Linked DNA regions of Macaca mulatta. The protein of the gene in region 1 interacts with the protein of each later gene in a pairwise test. Links are inferred from orthologs where the notes say so. Each region holds a gene or a part of one and is shown in the gene's direction. Other genes may lie near its edges.

What was found.
Region 2: the proteins of STX4 (region 1) and CYBRD1 interact in binary tests that used the Homo sapiens proteins (3 or more experiments, as listed by UniProt). The two-hybrid records come from large-scale screens. The link is inferred for Macaca mulatta from reciprocal best matches to the Homo sapiens genes STX4 and CYBRD1.

The regions. Positions count from the first base shown.
Region 1 is NC_133425.1:29,667,859-29,677,803, forward strand, and holds the start of STX4 (syntaxin-4), read left to right. Parts: upstream 1-3,980; 5' UTR 3,981-4,249; coding exon 4,250-4,279; intron 4,280-4,456; coding exon 4,457-4,558; intron 4,559-4,647; coding exon of another isoform or gene 4,648-4,669; coding exon 4,670-4,769; intron 4,770-4,905; coding exon 4,906-4,980; intron 4,981-5,416; coding exon 5,417-5,487; intron 5,488-8,344; coding exon 8,345-8,453; intron 8,454-8,532; coding exon 8,533-8,609; intron 8,610-8,928; coding exon 8,929-9,066; intron 9,067-9,945. Other genes in the region: uncharacterized protein LOC144337996, read right to left, coding at 3,590-3,709, 3,819-3,975. UniProt on the Homo sapiens protein: Plasma membrane t-SNARE that mediates docking of transport vesicles. Necessary for the translocation of SLC2A4 from intracellular vesicles to the plasma membrane.
Region 2 is NC_133417.1:76,458,243-76,467,950, forward strand, and holds the start of CYBRD1 (cytochrome b reductase 1), read left to right. Parts: upstream 1-3,589; 5' UTR 3,590-3,771; coding exon 3,772-3,964; intron 3,965-9,708. UniProt on the Homo sapiens protein: Plasma membrane reductase that uses cytoplasmic ascorbate as an electron donor to reduce extracellular Fe(3+) into Fe(2+).

The DNA.
Region 1 (9,945 bases):
TTTCACTGTGTTAACCAGGATGGTCTCGATTTCCTGACCTTGTGATTCACCTGCCTTGGCCTCCCAAAGTGCTGGGATTACAGGCGTGAGCCACAGCACCCAGCCCAATATACTTTTTTAAACTTTATTTTTATTTCTATTTATTTATTTTTAATTAAAAAAAATCTAATTAGAGATGAGGTCTTAGGCCAGGCACAGTGGCTCATGCCTGTAATCCCAGCACTTCGGGAGGCTGAGGCAGGCAGATCACAAGGTGGGAGGATCACGAGGTCAGGAGTTCAAGACCAGCCTGGCCAATATGGTGAAACCCCATCTCTGCTAAAAATACAAAAATTAGCCAGGTGTGGTGGTGTGTACCTGTAATCCCAGCTACTCGGAAGGCTGAGTAAGAATTGTTTGAACTCAGGAGGCAAAGGCTGCAGTGAGCTGAGATCGTGCCACTGCAGTCCAGCCTGGGAGACAGAGCGAGACTATGTCTCAAAACAAACAACAACAACCACGACAAAAAAAAACCAGAGATGAGGTCTTGGCATGTTGCCCAGGCTGGTCTCAACTCCTGGGCTCAAAGGATTCTCCTGCCTTGGCCTCCCAAAGTGCTGGGATTACAGGCGTAAGCCACTGCACCCACCCTACTTTTTTTTTTTTTTTTTTTTTTTTGATACAGGATCTCACTCTGTCACCCAGGCTGGAATGCAGTGGCAAGATCACTGCTGACTGTACCCTTGACCTCATGGACTTAAGTGATCCTCCTGCCTCAGCCTCCTGAGTAGCTAGGACTACAGGAGAGCGCCAGTGCACCTGGGTAATTAAAAGAAGATTTTTTTGTAGAGACAGATGCTATGTTGCCCAGGCTGGTCTCGAACTCCTGGCCTCAAGTGATCTACCCACCTTGGCCTCCTAAAGTGCTAAGATCACAGGCATGAGCCACTGCACCCAGCCTAAGATAGTTAATATCCACTTCAAGGCTGCTCAGAGGGCCTGAGAGGAACAAAGGGCTCAGCTCTGGAGAGCTCCATCCCCAGCGCCAATCTCTCTAAATGGCCTCTTTCCTCTCCACATACCACCACAAGGGTTAGAGTCCAGCTTCCTGTGACCTTAAGTCACCATTCCAAAACCCTGCAATCTCATCCAGAGACCACAAATGAAATAATGAATATTATAATCCTGAGAAGTTTAGTGGATCAAGACGGCATGCCATCAAGATGCTGAGAAACAAAGAGGCAGATGGGACCGGGGGCCCAGAAGATGCTGGAACCCACAGTACTAAAAGCTCAGAGAGGCTGGGCACGGTGGCTCACACCTGTAATCCCAGCACTTTGGGAGGCCAAGGTGGGTGGATCGACTGAGCCCAGGGGTTTGAGACCAGCCTGGGCAACACGGCGAAACCCAGTCTCTACCAAAAAAATATACAAAAATTAGCCAGGCATGCTGGTGCATGCCTATAGTACCAGCTACTTGGGAGGCTGAGGCAGGAGGATTGACTGAATCTGACAGCACACCATTGCACTCCAGCCTGGGTGACAGAACCAGACTCAACCTCAAAAAAAAAAAAAAGAAAAAAGAAAAAAAGCCAGAGGGGAGGCTCGACAGTTTTCCAGCCCCTTCCACATCCTTCTTAACCTCACTAGATACTGTCCAAGTCCTACCTTAGGCAAGGCAGAAATTATAGGACCAAGCCGTCAAATGGGGAAATTGAGTCCCAGAGAGGAATAATGCATTATTTAAGATCCCATGCAGGACTATGAGTCAGGGGTCCAAGAGCCCTTCCACCTTGTGCCACTCAGAGACACAGAGTAGGAGGGGGAAGGGGGTCGGGTGGTAGGGGACAAAAGATGCGGGAGGCAAGCAGCAGTGACTGAAGAGGCAGAGGCTGCCATGGAAGACCCGGGAGCAGGGAATCTTTCCTCACCGTCTCCAGGGGAGGCTTCCTGAAAAACCCTGCATTCCCTCTGTGGGTTGATCAGGGAACCACTCTCCTACTAGCTGGGTTTTGTGTTTTGTTTTGTTTTGTTTTTTTGAGATGGAGTCTTACTCTGTCGCCTAGGCTGGAGTGCAATGGCGTGATCTCAGCTCACTGCAACCTCCGCCTCCCGGGTTCAAGCAATCCTCCTGTCTGAACCTCCCAAGTAGCTGAGATTACAGGCACCTGCCATCATGCCTGGCTAATTTTTGTACGTTTGTAGAGATGGGGTTTCGCCATGTTGGCCAGGCTGGTCTCCAACTCCTGGCCTCAGGTGATCTGCCTGCCTCTGCCTCCCAAAGTGCTGGGATTGCAGGCATAGGCCACCGCACCCTGCTAGAGCTGGGTTTTAACAGGAAGAGAAGAGCCAAAAATCCTCACATAGAATCAGACAGCACTTGACAGTTTCCAACCTCATCATCACTGAAGTTTAGAGCAGCCCATACCCATAAAGATGATCTCCCCATCCCCCCAAGTTACCCACTGTGCAGAGGGAGATCGACACTTAAGAGACAGGAAGCAACTTCCAGAAGTCCATAGCAACCCAGTCCCAGGAATCTAGGTTTCCTGACCAGGGCATAGCAGAAAGGGTCCATTCCTTTCCTTGCTTGTACCTTCACAGAAGCTTCCTGGACAGAGCCCTGGGGTCCAGGAGACCCGTTATTCATTCCCAGCTATGCTGAGACTTACTAAATGACCTTGGGGACTCCTTCTAGAGAATTTAAGTTCCACGAGTGCAGGAATTTTTATCTATTAGTCCTTGATGTATCTCCAGCCCTAGAACAGTGTTTGGCCCATAGTATGTGCCCAAAAATATCCATTAAATGAATGTTCTGTGCATGGTGGTGCATGCCTGTAATCCCAGCAGTTTGGGAGGCTGAGGCAGGAGGATTGCTTGAGCCCAGGAGTTAGAGACCAGCTTGGACAACATAGTGAGACCCCATCTTGTAAAAATTTTTAAAAATAAAAAATGAGTGAATATCTCGATAGCCAGGATTAGAGAAGTGTCACAGTCAGAAAGACTGAAGCCTAAAGAAGGCCAAGGAACCAGGGTCTTCATCCTCAGATACATGAAAGGCTAAGATTCTGTCCACAAGTATTTATAGAGGGCCCGTAATGTGCTTGGTACTGAGCTAGGAACTCCCCAGATTCAGTTAAGAACAAAGTCATTACCTGCCTCAGATGCAAGGCAGGGTCTGGGGGGTGTGAGTGGCAGGGAAGGCAGCGTGCAGAGACACTTTTCTTAGCCTGAGCTGCCCTGACATGGTCTGACAGCCCACAAGGTGGTGAGTGAAGCCGGGCTGTAGTGTTCAAGGAGGGCGCCGGCTGGCTGCCCACCTGTCAGAGGCTGCGCCAGGAGGATGCGGAAGAAGAGGTTTCTGCCTTGGCTGAGGTCAATTTCCACCCCTAGATTCCCTGCCCACACAACCCTGCAATTTTCTGACGCTGACGACTCGGATCCTATTATTTCCCGATTTTCAAGGTCCCATGATGCTGACAGCCCCAAATGCTAAGTCGTCAGTCCGCCCACGCCCCTGGACCCGAAAGCAATAAAGGCGAAGTCAGCAAGGGTCCTACCACCCACTGCCTCGAAAGGCCTCTGGGAGTGGTGGGCGCGCCCCTCCCCACCTCGCGGGGGCCGTGTGGGCGTCGTTCGGTGGTCGGAGTGCCGGGGACGTCGTGATGAAAACAGCGTCCCAGAGACGGCGCTGACCGAGCCGGGACACGTGACAGTCACAGCGTCACATTCTGCGGTCCACGAGTTTGGGACCGGGTTGGTCACGTGACGCGGTGGGGGCACCATGGGGTGATGTGAGATGCGGGTGCCTCAGATTACGTACAAATGACGTATTCCTACCCCTTTTGGCAACCAGATTTCCGTTGGAAGATGCAACGGTTCCGGTGACGGTAGCCAGTTCTCGCGTCCACGCAGCTCCGCTTCCGCTCGGGGCGCAACAACTTCCGACTCCACCTTCCGCGCCTCGGGCGAGGAAGAGACGCGACCATATGCGCATGCCCCGAATTTATCACGGAGGGGCGGGGCTGAGGCTGCGGGAGCTGGAGGGGGGAAGAAAAGGGAATTCCAACCTGTGGAACCTTGGGGGGTCCCCGGGGTCGGCGCCTTCCCATTGACTGTGGGCGGTGCAAGGGACGGAGGCTCTGGTGGCTCGTGGGGGTGTTGGGGTCCACAGGGGGAGGGAGGGGAGTGTCAGAGTGTGAGTGGGGTACGGGTATTCCAAGTTTGCCGGCCTCCCGGTCTGACGCCGGGGAGGGAGAGCTCAGGCCGCCATGCGGGACAGGACCCACGAGCTGAGGCAGGTGAGACGCCAGGGCAGCGGGGATGGGGGCGCGCGGACGAACTGGAACGCAGGACTCCTGGTCTTCGGGGTAGGGAGGGGTGGCTGATGGCCAGGAAGGAAAGTCCCGGAAGCCTGTGGGTCCTGCGGGGTGACAGCCGCAGCGAAACAGTGGTGCCAATGACTCCGGGCCTGGCAGGGGGATGACAGCTCGGACGAAGAGGACAAGGAGCGAGTCGCGCTGGTGGTGCACCCGGGCACGGCACGGCTGGGGAGCCCGGACGAGGAGTTCTTCCAGAAGGTAAGGGGATGGAGTCTTGGCCTGGATTCGCGAGGGGGTAGGAGGACCCGAGGAGCAGCGTGGTCTGGAGTACCCCATATCTCTTTCAGCCCTCTCGGTCACCCTCCCCAGGTCCGGACAATTCGGCAGACTATTGTCAAGCTGGGGAATAAAGTCCAGGAGTTGGAGAAACAGCAGGTCACCATCCTGGCCACGCCCCTTCCTGAGGAGAGTGAGTGAAACCCCGGCTGCATAGCGCATGCTCCGCCCCAGGGATTGTGGGGGTTGTAGTTCCACGCAGGTGGTGGCCAGGGTGGTTTGTTGAGGTGGGGGCTGCTGTTTGGGAGTCGTGGCCTTCTCTTATTCAGGCATGAAGCAGGAGCTGCAGAACCTGCGCGACGAGATCAAACAGCTGGGGAGGGAGATCCGCCTGCAGCTGAAGGGTGAGCTACTGGGACCTCAGGCAGATCCTTCCCTCTGATCCTGCCCTGTTGTTGGTATATCTGGGGAGTGTGTGGCCCAGAGAAGCCAGTGATATATCCAGGTCACACAGCAGGCCTGGTTCTAGCATCTCTGTCTTCTGGCCTCCAGGCCATTGTACTCTCCACAGCACAAGGCAGTCTCTCAGGTTCTTTTATTTACAATGAAACCATTTACTTACACAGTTATCACTGCCCACTGGGCATTCTTTGGGCAGGGAGATGGGGTTTTGTTAGGTGGCCTCTGCATTCCTACGGGAACTCAAGTGATGTAATGCAAAGAAAAATAAACTTACTTTCTCCTCTTGGAGGCTCAGCCTTAGTCATTTTATGATAAATTATATTTCCCTAAAAATCCTATGGAGACAAGTACCCCCAATACCCCTGTGTCTTCCCACAGCCATAGAGCCCCAGAAGGAGGAAGCTGATGAGAACTATAACTCCATCAACACAAGAATGAGAAAAACCCAGGTGGGTTTTTTTTCTCAGAAATGACATTTCAGCAAATGTTTCATGAAGTATTAGATGACAGATGTATGAAGGAAGGGCCTGTAGATGTCATGGAGTCCAATTGGATGATTTTTCCAAGTGGGGAACCTGAGCTCAGAGAGAGAAAGAACTTGCTCAAGGTCAGGAAACCAGGTCTCCTGATGCTCAGTCCGGTTATAACACCCTGCTTTATTTTCTTCCATTCAATAAGAAGTTACTTATTGACCCCAGACAAGACCTAGGCTTGACTGTGGGACACGTTTTCTTTTCTTTTTGCCTCAGCCTCCTGAATAGCTGGGATTACAGGCGGACACCACCATGCCGAGTTAATTTTTGTATTTTTAGTAGAGACGGGGTTTCCCCATGTTGGCCAGGCTGGTCTCGAACTCCTGACCTCAGGTGACCCTCCTGCCTTGGCCTCCCAAAGTGCTGGAATTACAGGCGTGAGCCACTGCGCCCAGCTGGGACACGTGTTTTCTAGGAGTCAACATGAGGAGTTAGGGTTCAATAGGGGATAAAGACATTACTCACGTGGGATCTGGTGGCTAATGGCGCTGCCCAGGGAAGGAGAGTGAGAAGTCACAAATTGACTGGCAGGTTTGCTATCTGTGTGACAGGGACATCCTTAGTCCCACAGGTGGAATTCAAGAAGTCAGGAAGTGGAACTTCCCTGGGGCGACACTGAAGAGGAACTCCCCTGGTGTAATATCTTTTTTTTAAAAATTATTATTATTTTTTTGAGATGGAGTCTCTCTCTGTCGCCCAGGCTGGAGTACAGTGGCACAGTCTTGGCTGACTGCAACCTCCACCTCCTTCAAGCGATAATCCTCCCTCAGCCTCACAAGTAGCTGGGATTACAGGTGTACACCACCACACCTGGCTAGTTTTTTATATTTTTGGTAGAAATGAGGTTTCACCATGTTGGCCAGGCTGGTCTTGAACTCCTGACCTCAAGTCCTCAAGTGATCCACCTGCTTTGGCCTCCCAAAGTGCTATGATTACAGGCATGAGCCACCGTGCACGGCCCCTGGGGTGATATCTTAGTAAGGAGATTTGCAGTGATCTGACTGGCCCTCTTTGTGTCCCCAGTGAGGAGGATACCAAGAGGTCAGGGTTGGAGTAGTTGAGCCCAGGGCTCAGCAAAGACCCCAGATTGAAGATGAAACAGCTTGGGCATCTTGGAAGGGTGCAGCTGGAACCAGGAGAGCAGATGTATCTCTGGAAAAGGAACTCCAAGGAATGAGCATATTTAAGGTCTCAGGAGAAGGGGCAAGGCAGAGCAGATGCCCCAGAGCCAGTGTTTCTGGGGAAGCCTCTGGTGGTGATTGGCATGAGTGGTCGAGGGCCCATGTGGGCCTGTTGCACCTGTTTCGCCCAGGCAGCATGTTCATCTCTAGGCATAGGAACTGTGGTGTAGGCAGCAAGGTTGGCATTCAGCAAGCATTCAGCAGTTACATATTGGGTGCCTACTGTGTGCCAGACCTTTTTGGAACTGTTTAGGGTACAGCAGTGAATCAATGATCCCTATCCTCATGGAACTTCCCTTCTGGTGTAGACAATCACCATAATAAATAAGTGAATTATTTAGAACATAATAAGCATTAAGGAAAAAAGAGCAGCGGAAGAGGGACTGAGCATGCTGGAGGAGGGTAGCGTTGCAGTTGAAAGCAAGTGGAGGAAGCTTCATTCAGAAGGTGACATCTGAACAAAAGACTTAAAGGTGTTTGCGGGGAATGGGCATTCTAGGTAGAATGAGAAGTGAATGCAAAGGTTTAAGCTGAGAGTGTGCTTTGTCTAGGGAGGGCTGTAAGGAGACCAATGTGGATGGGCAGAGGGAGGGAACAGTAAGAGGAAGCAAGATCAGAGAGGGCTGGCCGTGCACCTTGGCTCACACCTGTGATCCCAGCACTTTGGAGGCTGAGGTGGGAGGATTGGTTGAGCCCAGGCGTTTGAGACCAGCCTGGGCAACATTGCGAGACCCCATCTCTCTCTGTTTTTTTTTTTTTGAGACAAGGTCTCACTCTGTCACCCAGGCTGGAGTGCAGTGGTGCCATCTCTGCTCACTGCAGCCTCCGCCTCCTGAGTTCAAGCCATTCTCCTGCTTCAGCCTCCCAAGTAGCTGGGACTACAGGCACCCACCACTGCACCCAGTTAATTTTTGTATTTTTAGTAGAGATGGGGTTTCACCATGTTGGCCAGGCTGGTCTTGAACTCCGACCTCAGGTGATCTGCCTACCTCAGCCTCCCAAAGTGCTGAGATTACAAGCATGAGCCACCGTGCGGGTCAACCCTGTCTCTATTAAAAATAAAAATAGGCCAGGTGCAGTGGCTCACACTTGTAATCCCAGCACTTTGGGAGGCTGAGGTGGGTGGATCACCTGAGGTCAAGAGATTGAGACCATCCTGGCCAACATGGTGAAACCCCATCTCTACTAAAAATATAAAAATTAACCATGCATGGTGATGTTCATCTGTAGTCCCAGCTACTTGGGAGGCTGAGGCAAGAGAATCGCTTGAACCCAGGAGGCCAAGGTTGTGGTGAACCAAGATTGCGCCACTGCACTCCAGCCTGGGCAATAAGAACGAAACTCTGTCTCAAAAAATAAATAATAAATAAATAAAAATAAAAAAGATCATGGAGGGCCACATAGACTTGCTAAGGGCTTTGGCTTTTTGTCTAAGAGAAATGGGGGAGCCTGTCAAGGTCATCACAAAGTGGTTAAGGTGGCAGACCCCGCATAAGAGCTCATGCTATTTGCTCACTTTACTATGGGATTGCCGAGGCCCAGACCGGGCAAGGATCCTCCCGGGGCACCCAGCCTATATTCTTCATCTTTAGCATGGGGTCCTGTCCCAGCAATTCGTGGAGCTCATCAACAAGTGCAATTCAATGCAGTCCGAATACCGGGAGAAGAACGTGGAGCGGATCCGGAGGCAGCTGAAGATCAGTGAGTTGTGTGTGCCCAGCCTGGCCTGCAGGGGCAGGTAATCCCAACCCAGCCCTGAGCCTGGCCTTTTCCTTCACAGCCAATGCTGGGATGGTATCTGACGAGGAGCTGGAGCAGATGCTGGATAGTGGGCAGAGCGAGGTGTTTGTGTCCAATGTGAGTGGCCACAGCCAGCCCCTCTCTGCTGTGCCTCCCATCTCCTCTGATTCCTATCCCGTTCTTGACCTTCTGGGCTCAGGTGATCCTCCTGTCTCAGCCTCCCGAGTAGCTGGGACTATAGGTGTGAGCCACTGGACTCCGCTTGCTATGTCCCTTTCTGATTGAGGGGACCCTGAGGCCCCTAAGGGAATTAATTAGCTAACCTGGAGTCACCCATCAGATTCCAGGCTGAGGGCTACCCAGAAGTTCAACAGGAGCTTCTGACCTGCTGTCGGTCTCCCTGTGAACAGTTGCCCCACTCCTGTCCACCCCCTAGATCCTGAAGGACACACAGGTGACTCGACAGGCCTTAAATGAGATCTCGGCCCGGCACAGTGAGATCCAGCAGCTTGAACGCAGTATTCGTGAGCTGCACGATATCTTCACTTTTCTGGCTTCTGAAGTGGAGATGCAGGTGAGTGCCCCGCGCAGCCCCAGACGTGATACCAGGCTCAGTCCAAACTGCCAGCCTCCTGCCACCCTTAGATTCTCTCCCTGAGGCTTTTGTGTCTTCCAGGTTTGGCCATCCCCCCAAATTGGTGCTTATTCTTATCTTTAGCTGTACCCCGAGAATGGCGCCTGCCTCTGCTGCTACCCAGATACCCACTCCCTTCTGCATAGCACCCTGCCCTCTCTCCAAAACTTGAGCCTGCCCAGGTCTGGCCCCAGCCCTGGCTCCCCCTCCACTAACAGCATCCACCCTGATACCTCTCAGAGGTTCAGTCAGAGTTGCCTTAGAGGGGCTGCCTCCTAACATCTGTACAAGGCTGGGGTGGGGGCGGTGTTCCCCTGGCCCTGGTTGCGTGAGTTGAGTTGAGCTTCCAGCCCTGTCCTGGAGGAGCTGGCCTCAGTCATGCTACAACCAATGCCCTTTTGCAGCTGAGACTTACAGGAAAGAGATCTCATTCAGTAGGAGCACTGAGACCTGAGGCTGGTGGTGCCAGGAGGAGGCAGGGATAGGGAGGGCTTTGCAGCAGCTGTAGATAGGCCTGGAAGAATGGGTAAATTCAGACAGATTTGTGAAGGCACAGTTCACCATCTGTGAAAGGTATGAGCCATTTGAGGTCCTTAGCTCCAAGCTACCACTGCAGATAGAGGTCATATGGGATAAGCGAGCAGGGGACAAGGGACTACATGATAGAAGGGACCTGGAAGCCATCTCCAAGGAGCCTGAACTTTTGTCAGATCGAGTCTTGCCCTTGTCTTTGTTAGTGCAATCTTTTTTTTTCCTGCCAGGAATGCTCTTCAGTCATCTGGGGTGGGGTGGGCAAAGGCATCCTTACCTCCCTGAATC
Region 2 (9,708 bases), on another chromosome or scaffold:
GACGGGGTTTCACCATGTTAGCCAGGATGGTCTCGATCTCCTGACCTCGTGATCCACCCGTCTCAGCCTCCCAAAGTGCTGGGATTACAGGCTTGAGCCACTGCGCCCGGCCAGATTCTTAAAAGATAATTTAAAAGTTGAAATTCTCTCAGTTTTACATATAACTTCAAGATGATTCAATACCATTGGTACCATTTGGCCATGTTTTCATCCTCCTGAAATGTTTTGTTAAATGGGGTCTGGAATCCCAGAGATTCTCATCTGCTGCTGCTATGAAGCAAAATTAACTCAAGAGTGGAGTGAAGGTGTTAGGAGTAATATTTCAAGGGGGTGAAAACATTAATTGGGGAAAAAGACTAGATACTTTTAGGGAGAGGGATAGAGATACAGTGATGTCGTTATAGAATTATAAGCTAAAGTTCACAAACGAAAAGAATCAATGTTAGGTGAAACACGGAATGTTTGCAGCACTCAGGAACCACCACCAAAAAAAAAAGGTCTGAAAAAATAAAAGTGGAAGATTCAGGGATAGTTTCCATGTATTCCTAGGGATCTCACTCTTCTCTCCTCTGCTCTGTGCCCTAAATTGACCTGGGATGGATTACATGAACTGCCCTGTGGCATCTGATTAGGTTCTGGTTAGCCCCTGGGAGACCCTGGGCAGAAGATCAGAGGGGAGAAGAGTAAGGCTGGAATATTTATCTGCTTCCATCTTTCTCCCTATGGGGTCTCTGCAGGCTGGCTGCATCCCTGTACTCAAGGCCTCTATCGGACTTCCCCCTCCACACAATTTTCTCTCTGGACTCCAGTAATTCTCTACCCTTCAGACTTGGGGCACTGCCTAACTCTGAGGATTGCCACACACTGCCCACAACTTCATAAACAGTCTTGTTCATTATTAAATTACTCAATTCCAATATGCTGTGTGTTTTCTGCCAGGACCCTGATTAACACACTCAGTCTTATTAGCCTCCCAACACATGTTTATTGAGTAACCACCACGTCAAGGAGGAATAAAATGACTAATTGGAGAATCAATGCCTTCAATAGGGCAGTCTGAGAGTGGAGACAGCCAGAGGCAGATCATTATATTATATCCTGACAGGTGACACAAGGAGGCACTGGATGGGGAGGTCAGTGGGATATAAAAGTCTGGGCAGGGGCAGACTCAGGGAAGGTTTCTCAGTGGAGATGGGGTCAGGGAAATTTAGAGGCAGGGGCGTGGGTAGGAAGTGGTCAGAAGCTGCCAGAGCAGTTTACAGCCAAGGACATCAGAGCCAGTCAGGTTATGGTAAGAGACTAGAGGGGAGGGCTAAGCTGGACCAGATCAAAGCCTTGTGCTGGGGAAAGGTGTCCTTCTCTTCCATTTGCTTACTCTCCCCACCAAGGGAAAAATAATGACACAGGTGAGGTCTACAGCCTCTTACTCTGAGCCCTTAATCCTGCCCTACTACCATGGCCTGCCACTCCTATTTCTTTAGTCTGCTTTGAAAATCACCTCCATATACTTCCTGCACATTCTAAGGTCTTTCAAGACAGCAACAAGACAATACAGCAAACTAGTCCTTGGAGATGAGCTACAGAAGAGGGCTAGAAGTGAACGTTCCCAAATGCATTCTGGAGGCCCTGGCGGTCAGAACCCTTTTTCTTTGATAGCATTAGATAATGCTGATACTATTTTTGTCCAGTGGAGAAGGGTGAGGATAATGTTGGAAATAGGGCAGGGAGCGAGCTTCACTTCATCAACAGGGGCTTTGGTTCAAATCGGTTTGGGTGGCCTGGCACTTTGAAAATCCATTTATCACACTAAATGGCAAGTCCAGGTCCAGGAGGTTCCTGTCTTCCCTCTCTCAACAGCAAACTGCAAATAGTTTCATTGCAGGATAAGGCCAAGCCCACTGCTGCCCATGCTGTTTTTGTTTTGTTTCGAGACAAAGTCTAGCTGTCACCAGGCTGCAGTGCAGTGGTGCGATCATAGCTCTCCTGAGCTCAAGTGATTCTCTTGCCCCCACCTCCCAAAGCCCTGGGATTACAGCCGTGAGACACTTCATGCGGACCCCGGTTTACTGGTTTTTGTTTGTTTTTTGAGACAGAGTCTCACTTTGTCATTCAAGCTGAAGGCAGTCGTGCAATCTCAGCTCACTGCAGCCTCGACCTTCTGGGCTCAAATGATCCTCCTTCCTCAGTCCCCAAGTAGCTGGGGCTACAGGTGCACACATTTGTATTTTTAGTAGAGACAGGGTTTCACCTTGTTGCCCAGGCTGGTCTCAAACTCCTGGATTGAAGTGATCTGCCCGCCTCAGCCTCCCAAAGTGCTAAGATTACAGGTGTGAGCGACTGCGCTCGGCCTTTACTGTTAACTTAAAACAAAAAATTATAAATTTGAAAAAGGAGGAGACTTTCTTTTAAAAGGTTATAGCCTGCAAGGTGGCCATTCCATAGGCTGATAAACACAGCCTCTGGCCTAAGACCAGAGACAGGCACTTGGAAGGCAGAGGGGTTGGGGTAGAAGCTTTATGCTGAACAGTTTGGCCAAACATACATACTTAACAGGTTACAGGAGGAACTATGAATATTGATGGAGGTGGTCCTTACACATGCATATTGAACAAACATGCATGTAACATGTTCTCTTTGGGGTGGAGACTTAACATTTAAATGTATTACTTCAAACCTATACTTCAAAAGGTCTTTTTAGGCCGTGAATGCATACAAGTGCAAATCCTGTAAACTGGCCAGAACTAGTCCATGGTCGGTGGTCTTCCTATCAGGAAAAAGTTCCTGAAATCAGTTTCTTGTCCAATGAAAGCTGTAGTTCTGGCTTGTGGAACAGGGGTTCAGTTGGTCAGCGTCTGTGAGCTGATTAAGTTGTAATAGTTTTAACATCGCTTATCTCAAACCAGTGCCTCTAGAGAAAAAGAAAACCTTTGTGGCAGTTAGACCATAGTTTATTCCTTAACTGTAGGAGTGTGTGACTTAGGTCCTTTTTATAATTTGATGTCCTATTGCTACAAAGAGTCTGTTCCGTCCGCCTTATGATTTCTCTTTTAAACATTAATGCTAGTCAGTTGTTGAGTCTAAATTCCAAAAGGGAGGGGGTAGACTTCCTGATTTCCCTTCTGGCTGTAGCTAGAAACTCAGCTTTAAGGTTTTCTGGGGTCTGCTTGGCCAAGGGGGTCCATTCAGTCAGTGAGGGGCTTAGGATTTTACTTTTAGTTTACACCACCCTACGGGTTCCTCCTTAACACCCTTTGATGTCAGAGACAGCAATTCTCCAGCACTGCGGCTAAGGAGGCTTCTTTAGAGTTAAAAGCACACACATAACCTTACCCAACGGATCCCTCTCTTCTCTTAATCAAGAGGGCGCACCACTGCCCTACTCAGCCTCCCCACAAATAAGGACGAGATACGGGAAGGGTTAAAAGCAAGTGGTGGGTATAAAATCCTTGGAATTCTCTCTTTGAGCAACTAACTAGGGCTGTTACTGAAGCCCTCTGCGAGCTTGGATGCTGGGCGAGAGTGAGGCCACCAGGCAGTGAGCGCCCTCGGCGGCCCCGTGATCCCGGGGGTGGGGCCCGTTTCTGAGTTGGGGCTAGCTCCCCACCCCCAAGGGCCCCACATTCCGGGCCAGCAGCCCAGAAAGTCCCTCCCCGCAGGCGGAGACAGCCCCAAGAAGTCGACGCCCCGGTCCCGCCGCCCGGCCACTACCCAAAGGCTGCCGCCGCCTCTCCAAGTTACTGTGGACCCCGCGGTGCGGAGTATGGGGCGCTGATGGCCATGGAGGGCTACTGGCGCTTCCTGGCGCTGCTGGGGTCGGCACTGCTCGTCGGCTTCCTGTCGGTGATCTTCACCCTCGTCTGGGTCCTCCACTACCGAGAGGGGCTTGGCTGGGACGGGAGCGCACTCGAGTTTAACTGGCACCCGGTGCTCGTGGTCACCGGCTTCGTCTTCATCCAGGGCATCGGTACTGGCACCTCCTGGGGGGTGCGGGGAGGAAAGCGGGGAAAGCGACTGGGGGCAGAGGGTCCTCCGTGAAGCGCCTCCCAGCTGAGGAAATATTGGAGTATCGCGGGGCCCAGAGAAATGCGGTGAGGAGTGCGCGGGAAGCCAATTTGGCGGGGTGGGAAGGCGGCGCGAGAGGGAGGCTGGCCGGCTCTGGGGGCGAGACGCAGCTGCGGTTCGGGCGGATAGCAGCGAGCGCGGGGCTGGGGGTGCGCGGTGGAGACGCGCTGCTGGGGGCCCGCCCCACTTGGTTAACTCTTTGCGGCGAGTGGCTGGGACGCATTGGAGGCGCCTCCAAGACCCAGAAACTTGAACCAGGGAGCGATACCGGAGCGCCGCGCAGTCGGGCCGCTGCAGCCCACTCGCCCCGGAAAGTCGCCTCTGTGTACCGAGCCTGCGCAGTCGGGGGCGCGGAAACACTTTCGCCCCAGCCTGTTGCTGAACTTGCTTCCAGCCTGCAGACGAGGAGGGCAAGGCCCCAGGGAAAGATGGCCGGGGCGAGAATTTGCCCCTATTTGTAACATCCTCGGCCCTGGGTGAAGGGGCCGGCCAAGGGGGGCGAGTGAAGCATCCGCCCTAGGTTCCTCTCCTCCTAGAGCGTTAAGCTCAGTCGAGACCTGGAAGCTGCCAGGACTCCAAAGAATGTTTCGCCGCCCTGCCCAGTCATTGGACAGTCTTGAGCCCGACTGGTTTATGTGGCAGCCGAGGGCGAAAGTTCCCCCGCCGGGCTTCCTATTGGGCACTGGCCCAGCACTCCGGGTGGGAGATGCCTGGAGAGGGCCCGCGGCTGCCTTGCACCGAGGGATGCCTGTGCTCCGGCTGCCAGCGGCGCGAGCTGCGTCCGTCTTTGGCCCGCGGCGAGCCAGCCCAGGGCCTGCATTCTCTGGGCTGAGGCTGGCGTGGGGGTGGGGCTCGGCAGTCGCTGGCAGTGTTTGTTGTCGTTGTGTAGTGCCTCTCACAATGTCCTGACAGCTTCCTTCGGTTTGCCGTGTAGCTGGAGGAACCTCTAGCTTGTGGCGCAAACAGCTTATTTGTAACCACTTCCCAAAAGGCATGGCCTTGAGAAAGTAGTTAGAGAAAGGCAGCAAGGGGTGGACTGGGGTTATGTCGCAGAAGATAATCGAGAGTAGTAGCAAGGGTTTGGAAAGATATGCCCACTGGCCGAAATCCCTAGCTTTGCCTCCGGGCAGGCTGCCTTTTCTTCACCAAATATTCAACTCCCCACAAACGAGTGTGCAACATAGTGCTGACCTCATTCCTAAAGAAAAGTGATTTTGGTTTTTGTTTTTGTTGGTTGTTTTAAACTTGTACTGCAGCTTTCGCAAGTGTGGCCAGCATTCTCCCACTCTGGAATGTAGTGGAAGGTGTTACTAACCCTCAGCATTCAAAGGGTTCCCTGATGTGAGATCGGCATCAGGGTGTGAGCACCACTGGGCACCTAAGGCATTTCGTTGCGTAACTCTCAGTTATTTTGCCACTACGCTTATAAGAGAAAAACATACTCAAGTTCCAAAGTAACTGTCAGAAGCACTCTTTCCTTCATGGTTGGAACCCTTAAGTTTGGCCCAGAGCTGTCTACAGCTTGTTTGCTCAAAGAGTAGAACCAGTCTCCTCTTCTACCCAACTCTTCAGAGCAGCTTCTAATACCAAAGAACTTTCTGGAGGTCTTGGAATATCTTCTCATAATTGAGGTTAAGGGAACAAGTGTTATTACTCGTTGCCTGACTTGCCACAGAGGAGAAGCCGTCAGAATGGCTAACAGTGATTGCATGCTGTTTGTCCACTAAGTGCATTATGTCACATGTATGTAAGAGTAAACTGAGACAGAGAAGAGTTATGTAACTTACCCATGAAAGCTGTTTTAAGGCTTTTCAGTGACCTTATCGTCAAAGTTTGATTCTCTGCTTTTATGGCAATATGCTTATTTTCTGCCAAATCTTTTTAGACAGCTAAAACCTTCATGTAAAATATGTTTTGAAACTCTTCATTCATGTTAGAGTCCAATATACAGTTTTCCTAAAAGGTTTTTTAATTTCTCTAAACTTTGTACTTCTCTTAATCTGTTCATATTTACTCTTGGACAAAAATGTGTAAATTTTGGCAATTTTCATCTGCTGCTCTTATGAAAATCTTGTTTCTTTTTTTCTTTCTTTTTTTTTTTTTTCTTTTGAGACGGAGTCTTGCTCTGTCGCCCAGGCTGGAGTGCAGTGGTGCGATCTTGGCTCACTGCTACCTCTGCCTCCCAGGTTCAAGCAATTCTCCTGCCCCAGTCTCCCGAGTAGCTGGGATTACAGGTGCGTACCACCATGCCCAGCTAATTTTTATATTTTTAGTAGAGACAGTGTTTCACCATGTTGGCCAGGCTGGTCTCGAATTCCTGACCTCGAGTGATCCACCTGCCTTGGCCCCCCAAACTGCTGAGATTACAGATGTGAGCCACCGCACCCAGCCGATCTTGTTTTCTTTGGGTTCAGTTACTGTATTTGTATCAGTGGTCCAGAGTTTGTCCCGTCATTACTCATCGTGTTTCCTGTTTGGAGCCTGGATGTGCAAATCACTTTAATCATATAATGCATTTAATTGACATGAGCATAAATGTTTTCATAAATATAGGCACATGCATAGTTCTCCCCAGTTCTTCCATATCTTGGCCCACCCACCCACATTCCTCACCCTAAGTATTAGGAAGGCTCCAGTGGAAGGAGGGGGAGTAATAAATAAACTTTATAGGCCGTGAGGGACCCACACGTTACAGACTTGCCATGTTATAGCAGACTTTTTTACTGTGTGTGATTGCTGCAAGGAGGAAAATTTTAGGCTATGAGATTTCAGATCTCTAACAAAGAACACGATGTAATGGAGTTCTTCTCTTCTGTAATACACAAATATTTGGAGATGAGGAAAGGAAGGCTAAAGTACAGTTATTACTCTAAGTATAAGATGTTTTAGAAATGCAATATACAAATAGTAAACAATATTTGAAATTAAGAACAGGTATGAGTCCTTTGAAACACCTTTAAGAAGTAAGCTCTGGGCCGGCGCAGTTCAGCTACTTGTGAGGCTGAGGCAGGAGAATCACTTGAACTCGGGAGGCGGAGGTTGCGATAAGCGGATATCTCACCATTGCACTCCAGCCTGGGCAACAAGAGCGAAACTCCCATCTCAAAAAAAAAAAAAAAAAAAAAAAGCTCTGGCCGGGCATGGTGGCTCACGCCTGTAATCTCAGCACTTTGGGAGGCCGAGGTGAGTGGATCACCTGAGGTCAGGAGTTCGAGACCAGCCTGGCCAACATAGTGAAACACTGTCTCTACTAAAAATACAAAAATTAGCTGGGTGTGGCGGCACGTGCCTGTAATCCCAGCTACTCGGGAGTCTGAGGCAGGAGAATTGCTTGAACCTGGGAGGCGGAGGTTGCAGTGAGCCAAGATTGTGCCATTGCACTCTAGCCTGGGCAATAGAGTAAGACTCTGTCTCAAAAAAAAAAAAAAAAAAAAAAAAAAAAAAAAAAAAGAGAAAAGAAAAAGCTCCAAAGAAGCAAAGTTAACATAGAATTTACAAAACAAATATCCCTCTCCTCCTTTATTCCCCTTTCCCTTTCTCGCTAACCCTCCCTCTCCTTTTCCCATTTTATCCTCCGTGTCCCTCTCTCGCTCTCCCTTCCTTTCCCCTTCTCTCTCCCCAACTCCCACACTCCAAGTATATTTTGGAAAATGTATATATTCTATATTCAAGTATAGCAGATCATGGGAAATCTAAAACTAAAATAAAATTTTAAACTAGTGGGAAATCTAGCTAACAGACTGACATGAATGAGGAAGAGTTTAGAAGAGGCTTTGTGCTTCTCTGAAAGAAATGTTTCCCATGAAATAAGTATACTACTAGGAAATCAGAGAAATGAACCTTGAAAAGGAGGCCACAGAAAAGACTGAAACAAATAAACGCTCTCAAAGTGGCTGTTGACCTTTTAAAGGTTCAGCAAGGTGGAATGTGTTCTTTAGTGAAAGGTAGAAAATTCAGCTATCTAAGTTTAGTGAAAAGAAGCCTTGGCAATTCTATACTCCTTCCTTTCCTGTGTAGAACTCGTTTTATTGTATAAACTGAAGGAAGAGAAATTAAATAGTTTAATGATCTCAAGTTGATTTTGTGAGAGAATATAACTACCTTTAAGTAACATTTAAAAGACTAACAGAAATTAAGAGCAGTTCTTAAAAAGCAGTTGGGATATCCTATTAATTTATCTAAAAGTGACCAAATTCCATGATTACTTAAATAGACTTGAAAAGCTCTTGGGGTAAAATCCAGCAAATAAGAAAATGGAGAAAGTGCCCTAAATACCTACTCTAAAATAAGCTTCAGGGACACCATTGATAATAAAACCTGTCAATCTTAGCGATACAAGGGTTTTTACAAAGCATAAAGAGATGATTTAAAGAAATTTTGTGAAGAAAACCACAAAAAATATCCCCAACATATTTTTTGTTGTAAACAAATACACATAGATTTTAAAATAATGCAACCAATAAAAATGTTTTAGATATGACTGTGGTGCTCAGTTCTATATCCCCAGCACCTAGAATAACACTGGGAACTGGCACATGGTAGATGAGTAAGTAGTTGTTGAATGAATGATTATTTCTGTACCATCATTGAATTGTTAGTAACAAAATGCAATTTACAGCCACTTATTTGTGACTATAATAATAGTGTCTAAAGTAAATACACGCTTGTCTTTCCCTAGCGATTCTCCTGTTCAGCCAGTTTAAAAGCACTGGCTTATCAACCTCCAGGAAGAATGGACATCTATTGCACTGCAAATGCATCTTTATTCTAAGGCCTCTAGCTGATGAGACTGTTGCTGCTTAAGTACAGTCTGTGCCTCCTTTTCCCTTCATCCCAGTTTTCTCTCCTTTTTCTGCATCAAGTTTCCCCCCTAACTGGCTTATTTCCAACATAGTATAATTTCTATCATCTTCGAAAACAAAACAAAATCACTCTTGACCCTGTATGTCCCTCAGCTACTGCCTCAATTCTCTGCTTGCCTTACCACAGAACTTTTTGAAATTTTTGTCCATACCTGCAGTTTCTAGTTCCTTTCTTCCTATTCTTTCTTGAGCCCTCTCCAATTAGGTTTTCACCTCCTGCTCCACCAAAATTGTGCTTAACATGGTAGCTAATGATCTCCATGTTGCTAATTCCACTGGTCAATTCTCAGTCCTCATAGTGTTTGAGTGGAAGGCAGCATTTGACATAATTGACCCCTCACTCCTTGGGACACTGTCTTTTTTTCTTTTTTCTTTTTCTTTTTTTTTTTTTTTGAGACGGAGTTTCACTCTTGTTGCCCAGGCTGGAGTACAATGGTGCAATTTGGGCTCACTGCAAGCTCCACCTCCCGGGTTCAAGTGATTCTCCTGCTTCAGCCTCCTGAGTAGCTGGGATTACAGGCATGCGCCACCACGCCCAGCTAATTTTGTATTTTTAGTAGAGACAGGGTTTCTCCATGTTGGTTAGGCTGGTCTTGAACTCCCGACTTAAGGTGATCCACCCGCCTCAGCCTCCCAAAGTGCCCGGATTACAAGTGTGAGCCACCGCACCCAGCCAGGACACTTTCTTTACTTGGCTTCTCTTCACCTGGTAAGTTGGGTGGCTTCCAGGACACCTGATTCTCGTGACTCTTCTCTCTTTCCTGGCTGCCTCATCCTCAGTCTC